Caenorhabditis elegans: one gene and its partner. The protein of the gene in region 2 binds, or shares a complex with, the protein of the main gene of each other region. Each region holds a gene or a part of one and is shown on either strand. Other genes may lie near its edges.

Evidence for each region.
Region 1: gtf-2H5 (region 2) and gtf-2H2C share a complex: the UniProt entries of both Caenorhabditis elegans proteins name them as parts of the 7-subunit TFIIH core complex.

Annotation. Positions count from the first base shown.
Region 1 is NC_003281.10:10,087,929-10,092,319, forward strand, and holds gtf-2H2C (General transcription factor IIH subunit 2), read right to left. Parts: upstream 2,858-4,391; 5' UTR 2,852-2,857; coding exon 2,800-2,851; intron 2,395-2,799; coding exon 2,264-2,394; intron 2,210-2,263; coding exon 2,123-2,209; intron 2,080-2,122; coding exon 1,974-2,079; intron 1,925-1,973; coding exon 1,819-1,924; intron 1,775-1,818; coding exon 1,684-1,774; intron 1,636-1,683; coding exon 1,548-1,635; intron 1,495-1,547; coding exon 1,341-1,494; intron 1,290-1,340; coding exon 1,104-1,289; intron 1,056-1,103; coding exon 926-1,055; 3' UTR 829-925; downstream 1-828. Other genes in the region: hal-2 (Coiled-coil domain-containing protein), read right to left, coding at 1-32, 82-358, 409-507, 561-657; spop-1 (Speckle-type POZ protein homolog), read right to left, coding at 3,276-3,425, 3,477-3,611, 3,805-4,203. UniProt on the Caenorhabditis elegans protein: Component of the general transcription and DNA repair factor IIH (TFIIH) core complex, which is involved in general and transcription-coupled nucleotide excision repair (NER) of damaged DNA and, when complexed to CAK, in RNA transcription by RNA polymerase II.
Region 2 is NC_003281.10:576,432-579,747, forward strand, and holds gtf-2H5 (General transcription and DNA repair factor IIH subunit TFB5), read right to left. Parts: upstream 1,137-3,316; 5' UTR 1,131-1,136; coding exon 1,023-1,130; intron 721-1,022; coding exon 613-720; 3' UTR 515-612; downstream 1-514. Other genes in the region: helq-1 (Helicase POLQ-like), read right to left, coding at 1,416-1,586, 1,634-1,795, 2,896-3,162, 3,222-3,316. UniProt on the Caenorhabditis elegans protein: Component of the general transcription and DNA repair factor IIH (TFIIH) core complex, which is involved in general and transcription-coupled nucleotide excision repair (NER) of damaged DNA and in RNA transcription by RNA polymerase II.

The DNA of each region.
Region 1 (4,391 bases), 9.5 Mb from region 2:
TATTGTGGCTCAATTCACGAAACTTTCGCATCCTGCAACATTTAGTAATTATATTTATATTCGTTATCAACAACAGCTTACCACTCGACGTCTTTGAACAATTCTCTCCATTCCATCAACTGCTGCGTGACAAATGAAACCAACACATCCGGCAATCGATGACTCTCAACAACTGCAGCAACGTCACGGAGATCCTCGAATCGAAAGCAATCCATGACATCATCGCTGCGGTTCATAAGCTCTTTGTAGAAGGATCTCCAATATGTTTGTGACCTGAAGTAGACATCGAGAGTGTTGGATTCCTTGTGAAAACGTTTTATCTTCTTTTTCAGCGGGCAAAGTATTTGCATTTCAATCTCTGAAAAACAAAAGTATAAATTGAAAATTTCAGAAAAAATTCAAACTCACTATCCAAGTGATCGATTGCGGTTTTGGCAGATCGAAGAAACTTTTGAAACTCTCTGTCATAGTTTGTCTTCAATTTTGAGACGTGAGGAGTGTAGAAACCTGAAATATAAAGAATTAGAGATTCCGCTAAATCTTTTATTGATAAAACATACCAGAGGCGGAATGTGCCCTGTGCGTTTGCCGACCCATGGGTATCGGAGTTCCTGGCATTTGCTGCCTTTGCCGTTTTGCTTTTACCGGTGTGTTCATCTAAATTGTACAAAAATTGACCAAATGAAGCAAAAAAACAACGAAGAAAGCTATGTATTTAAGATAAAAATTAATTTTAACAGTGTAATTGGCGCCCGAATACCCGCTTGTTCAATTTTCGTTTCGAGACCCACGACTGGAAGATGGGCACGCACCTTGAAATGTAGATTTACGGAGCCGATCGATTTATTTTAGAATTTTTATAAAAAAGATGAAATAAAACCCGTCCGAAAAGTGAGAGAACGTGAGTAATTTAAAAAAAGAGATATCAGTTGCATCCGGGGCATACGTGTAGAGACTCGTGAAGAAGAGTATCACAATCGAGACAAAACACAAGCTGGCAACTACCACAGCGAAAACCTTCACCAGATAGACGAGTTTCACATGCGTAGCAGAATCTGAATATCTTAATTGTCTTATATATTTTTTTCTTAAATCTGACGTACCCTCGTGTCACTTCAATTTGCTCAAAAGCTGACAGCGGCTGAAGATGTCGAAACGCTCGAGCAAGCTGTGGAGCTGCGACAAGTGTAAGTTTGCAAACCGGGCATTCAGCTGGAATCGAGCAGTGACGTGCTCCGCACTGTGTACAAATGAATCCACGAGATGAGATTGGCTTCGTGTCAGGATGACTGAATTAGCAAAAATTAGCTTTAAAAGAAGTTCATTTAAAAAAACCTCACCAAACACAAAACGATCTTGTTGTAATCAGCTCGTGGTGTGGAAATCCAACATGAATTGCGTTGCATTCACTCGATTTTGCTGAGGACGGTGGGAGTGTATGCTTTGAGAATAAAAGTTGCAGATGGTCAGGGTCAAGAGCTACGGAATATTCTCCTGTAAATCATTATTTTGGAAAAGTTTATTTTAAAGAATAAAATAAAAATCACCTTTCGTTGCTTTAGCCATTTCCTTGCAAACGAACATTTCAGCAGACAGTCCAATAGCAGAACAACGAATATTCATTCGCTTCATTGTCTTGAAAATGTTACAGATTAGAAAAATCTACTTTTTTAGTCAAATAACCTCAATAGTGCTGTAAATATTTCCAGGATCAATTGTTGAAAGTGCTGATATAACGAGAACAACTTCTCGTGATACATGACCCGGCATTCCTCTAAAAATCAATATTTTATATTCTGAAAACGATTTTTAACTTACTTCAGGTTGGCACAAGCTAATTGAAGAGCGTTTTGAAGAGAAAAATCGCCACCACAGAAAGCTTCAGTTAGTGTGTTCAGCGATTCTTTTAGCACACGAATATTTCCTGAAATCCGTTGAAAAAAAAATTGAAAATCTCGAATATTGAGTCTAACCTGTCATCATTGTCAACCGATCTGCTTTACGATCTTTACAAGTGATCAATCCAATCTGAGCAATTGGATTTTGCTCGAAGAATCTGTCCAGGAAGGTTTGTAGAGCCTGGAAACATTCAAATACATGTCAAATAAATCGTTTTTCTAACCTTCATAACAACTACAAATCTCGATGGAGGCATTGCCTTGCTCGTCATGAATCGTGAGCAATCGATGACAATCATGACGTGGCGCATCTGAAATTAATTTGGAATTGCAATTTTGTAATTGATTTCATTTTATTGTGTTACAATTCCGAGGCGAATCCGTTCCGGTCTCTTCGTCAATCGGGCTTTTCGTTTGCTATCAGCCACGTATTTGGCAATTGATTTTTCGATAGATCCACCTTCATCTTCCACAAGGACATCATTGATGTTCAGGCCTGAAATTTAACTGATAATGGCTTATATTTCATAAATTTATTGAATAAGTGGTGATATTACTCGGAAACAAAAGTTTTGTAATTTTTGGGTCAAAAATACAGTCCAAAGTCTCGACACATCAATTTTTTGTTAAATTTTAAAATGTGTGAACCTTTAAAGAGTAATGTAATTTTAACCTTAAATAAAATATACGTTTTTTATCGAAAAGCTACGGAAAATGATTGAAATTCTTTAGCAAAAACAAGATTTTTCAATTCTAGTTTTTTGGGTATTAAAATGTTTTCCGATATTTTGAAAAATAATGTTTTTACCATTTTTTCTCCTTTAATTTTCGTTTTTCGCTGTTTAATTTTTGATTTTTTTAGACATTTTCTGAAAATATTGTTAAAATTAAATTTCCAAACCTTCTGCATATCCTGCTTCCCAGGTGTAACCCTTCTGCTCATCATCATCCATATTTATCTGAAACCTAGTAATACTTTTCACCTTGAATCCGGCGCGCACTTATAGGAATCCACACTGATAATAATTTCATCAGATTTAAATTTAATCTGAAAAAAAAACAAAACAATGCAACAAATGACGACGATTATTATTTGTTTTTTAAATTTTCTTTTTAAGCACATAATAAAAGCCACTTCCAGATGGGTGCGAAAAATGGGAAACCAGTAGACTATGAAGTTCGAGGGGCATTCAAATAAAAAGGACACAGAAATAGAAAATTTAGCGAATTCAAGAAATAAAAAGAAAAAAAAATACAGAAACATACAGGAAGAAACCCGTCGTATTGTGACATGATGCCTTGTGAGGGCATCAATCATAGATGACTACAATTCAAGTATGGGGGGGGGATAGAGATTCAAGACATTTCGATGACAAATCAATATGGACAATTGTGTTTCGGCCGTTTCTTGGGTGGCTGTACAAGCACTACGGGAGGAGTTTGCTGAGTTGCTAGTGCTCTAAAGACTTCTTCCAATAGTTTGGGATGGTCTCGAACGAGGTCTTCCCAGCCTTCTGTGTCCATTACCTGAAGAGCAAAACTATGAAAATTAAAATTATTTATTCGTCACACACTCACCTCATTTGCATTAACATTGATAAAGTTGATAGAGTGAGCTCTGAGCTGAGATGCCGAGTACATATCAGCAAGCATCAGTGTCAAACTAGCATTATCCGTTGTCAGTTGATAACAGAGGGCTTGTTCGCACATTACCTGAAAATTTTGAATTTAAAAAAAAAAAAATTTAGAAATAAATGCTAGCCAGAGCAATTTCGCAGTACAGTTTTTAATGCATTTTTCGAGAAAAAGTCAGTCTAGGTAAATTAAATTGATGGAAATTGAAAATTCATTTAAAATGCGGATTTTTTGAAATTCTGATTGCTCTGTTAATAGAACTAAACCGTACTTTCAGTCGATCTAATTGATATTTATCAGCAGCTGCAATCAAACTTTGAGCCATTTGTTCAATGTATTTTGTCTGTCCTGTATACATGTAGACAAGAAGCTCACGCATAACTTCTGGCTCAATATCATCAACCGTTGTCATATTCGTGTCAGATTCCTGCATATGATGCTCGAACATTGCCGAGAAAACTCGCGACCGGGCAGCAAGAATTGCCTTGTGAATGTGAAAAGTCTGTGTTGGACTTCCTAGATCGGATTTGCAGACCAATGTGAAATCGGAGAACTGTTTGTTGTCGAATAATCCGTACATATCATCTGCTAGTCGGCATGGTGGAACTTTGAAAAGTTGAGAAACATTTGTTTGTCCTGTCACGTTTACTGTTTCGGCTACCACAGACACCTGAAAATTGTTTTTGTTGATATTTTCGTGATTTCCAGCTATATTAATTGAGATTTTCTGTTTTTCTTTAATAAATTATTTGAAACACCGTTTTTAAATTTTTCAGACCGTTTTCCGGTTCGAAAAATGGAATAAAATTTTACCTAAAAATCGATAATTTCTCATGAATTCTTTTGTGCCGAAAACAG
Region 2 (3,316 bases):
AAAGAAAAGTGAAAAGTATTAGTCCAGATGTTTCAGGAACTGAAAATGCTTAACAAATCTAATACTTTCGTACATTTTCCGAAAAAATTTTTTTTTTGCCCAAATGAAAAAAAAGGCAGTAAAAAAGGACGGATTAGATGGCTGAAAAAAATTGGGCAAAAATAAAAAGTTGTCTAGTTTTGTTAGAAACGGGTAATTCATGTATGCTGCATTCAGAAAATCTAGGTTTAACCCTTCGAAAACTATCAGAAAGTGGCAAAAATGACAATTTTTGGCAAAAATTCACAATTTTGAAACTCCTCTAAAATGGTTAGTTTTAGAGTTAGAGGACTCAAAATTGATTTTCTGACACTATAAAATTGCCTTTTTCAATTTCTAATAGTTTTGTACCTTTTCCGAAAAAATTTTTTTTGCCCAAATAAAAAAAAAGGACAAGTTGAAAAGTTTCAAGTTTGCAGATCAAAAGGTTTTTTCCCTACACAGAAAAAAATAATGATTCCAAATCGCCTAAAACATGAAGCCTGTTGAGAAATTAATTGTTTATTTATTTAAATGGGGTTTAAGAACAAAATATACGAATTTTTAGTTATTTTCAGATGAAATTAGCTTGATTTATTTGTCAACAGCCTCCGGATTCATATTTTCCATGATTTGTTCCACCTTGTTCTCCAGCATTGGAACGATCTCCTTTTCGATGAACAAATGCGTATCGTCGAGTTCCTATAATTGAAATTTCATGTTTGAAAGTGCTACGTTTTTTTTTATGTTTTAAAAATTCCAGAAAATTAAAAGTATTAAATTTTTAAAAAAATCGCAAAAATTTTAATTGAAAAATTCAAAAAATGTTGAATTTCTGCAATGTTTTATATCGTACCAATATTTTTTTTTATTCCGAATTTTCCAAATATTCTTTCTTTTTAATTTGAATGTTTTGCCAAAAAAATTGGAAAAATTGTAAAAATTTAACAAAAAAAAATTCGAAAAAACATTGCAAAATATTTAGCAGACCTATAATCCCTTACCCTGACAATGAACTTGGATCCGAGCTGTCTGGAGTCGTCCAAATGGATCAGAAGTTGACGAAAAGCCGGATCACTCGTCACCAACACTCCCTTCTTCACGTTCACCATGGCTTTCTGTAAAATGTGGTTGAAAATGGAGAAAAAATTGAAATTTTGGAGAAAATTAGATATAACCCTGGTAAATAACAACCAGTTAAATTAGAGAATATAAAATTAATCAACTTTCCAAAAAGTGATATATGTTTCTGTTCAAAACCGTAAAAAAATGAAAAAGAAAATGAAATTTAAAAAACCTAATTATAAAACAAGAGATCCGAAGAAAAATTGAGAAAAAAGAGAAAAAAATTTAAAAAATACATATAATGATAGCACGCTCTATTGGACAAAAATCTTTTAAAAATAATTAAAACTATCGGTTGCGACGCCCCAAACGTCGAGTTCTTCCATTTTCTCATCAACTTGATCGCGTAGTACCATTCGTGCGCTGGCGATGATTGAATTCGCTTGAGCCATCCGAATTGTGCCGAGCTCTTGAACTAGTTTCAGTGGATTTGCTCTTGCAATCTGAGAAAAATTAATTGATTTGCAGAACCACAATTCGAATTTCTCACCATTCCAACGGTTTTATAACCAGCTTTGAATAAAATTGCGGCCCGTGCTTTCTTGATTCCATCAACTGTCATTAACGGTAAAAGTTCCGGCTGGGCAGCTTCAGAAAGTCGTTGAACAAGTTCAGGAAGTAGTTTTCGTAGAGGCCACATCGTGGTGATTTTCTGAAAAATTGCAGAAACGTTATTTAGTTTGGTTTTCTACCATTTATTATTGAAAATTAACCGTATTTTTGAAAGGGTCTGCTAATTATTAGCAGACCCAAGTATGGTCTGCTAAATATTTAGCAGACCCAAGTATGGTCTGCTAATTATTAGCAGAACCAACTATGGTCTGCTAAATATTTAGCATACCCATGGGTCTGCTAATTATTTTCACATGGGTCTGCTAATTATTAGCAGACCCAAGTATGGTCTGCTAAATATTTAGCAGACCCAAGTATGGTTTGCTAAATATTTAGCATACCCATGGGTCTGCTAAATATTTTCCCATTGGTCTGCTAAATATTTAGTATACTCATTGGTCTGCTAAATATTTTCCCATTGGTCTGCTAAATATTTAGCATACCCATGGGTCTGCTAATTATTTTCACATGGGTCTGCTAATTATTAGCAGACCCAAGTATGGTCTGCTAAATATTTAGCAGACCCAAGTATGGTCTGCTAAATATTTAGCATACCCATGGGTCTGCTAAATATTTTCCCATTGGTCTGCTAAATATTTAGCATACCCATTGGTCTGCTAAATATTTTCCCATTGGTCTGCTAATTATTAGCAGACCCAAGTATGGTCTGCTAAATATTTAGCAGAACCAACTATGATCTGCTAAATATTTAGCATACCCATGGGTCTGCTAATTATTTTCCCATTGGTCTGCTAAATATTTAGCATACTCATGGGTCTGCTAAATATTTTCACATGGGTCTGCTAATTATTAGCAGACCCAAGTATGGTCTGCTAAATATTTAGCAGACTCAAGTATGGTCTGCTAATTATTAGCAGAACCAACTATGATCTGCTAAATATTTAGCATACCCATGGGTCTGCTAAATATTTTCCCATTGGTCTGCTAAATATTTAGCATACCCATGGGTCTGCTAAATATTTTCCCATTGGTCTGCTAAATATTTTTTGTTGCCTTTTTTGTCGGAATCTTCAATTAGCCGAAATACAGTCAATATGGGTTTCAAATTGACGGAAATTTAATGGAAAACCCAAATTTCTTTACGAAAACTACCGAAAATGATCTTTTTTTTCCAATTACCTCTGAAAATTTAGCAATTGACGCGGCCTGTGAAATCGATGACTGCAGTGTCGCCTGAAGCCATCCCTTCTCCACGCCAAATCGTTCGGCTACCGTATACATTGGCTCGTGATTCCAGATTTTTTGAAGCATCAGCGCAATGTAAAGTCGCATTCGAGGAGTACCGGCGGTCAAATCGACACGTGTAATGATGGCTTCTAGTATGAATTTCTCTTCGAGACCACACTCGGCCAACAATTTTCGCTCGCTTGACGGGAGGGCGTTGTACTGCAAATATTTGAATTTTTGGGGCTGAATTCAATTTTAAAATTAAAAAAAAAGCTTACCATTAACAAAAATAGATCCCAATTAATATTACACACTTGTTCATAAGGTGTAATAATGAATAATAAATGAAAATGCGACGCAAAAATGACTCCTT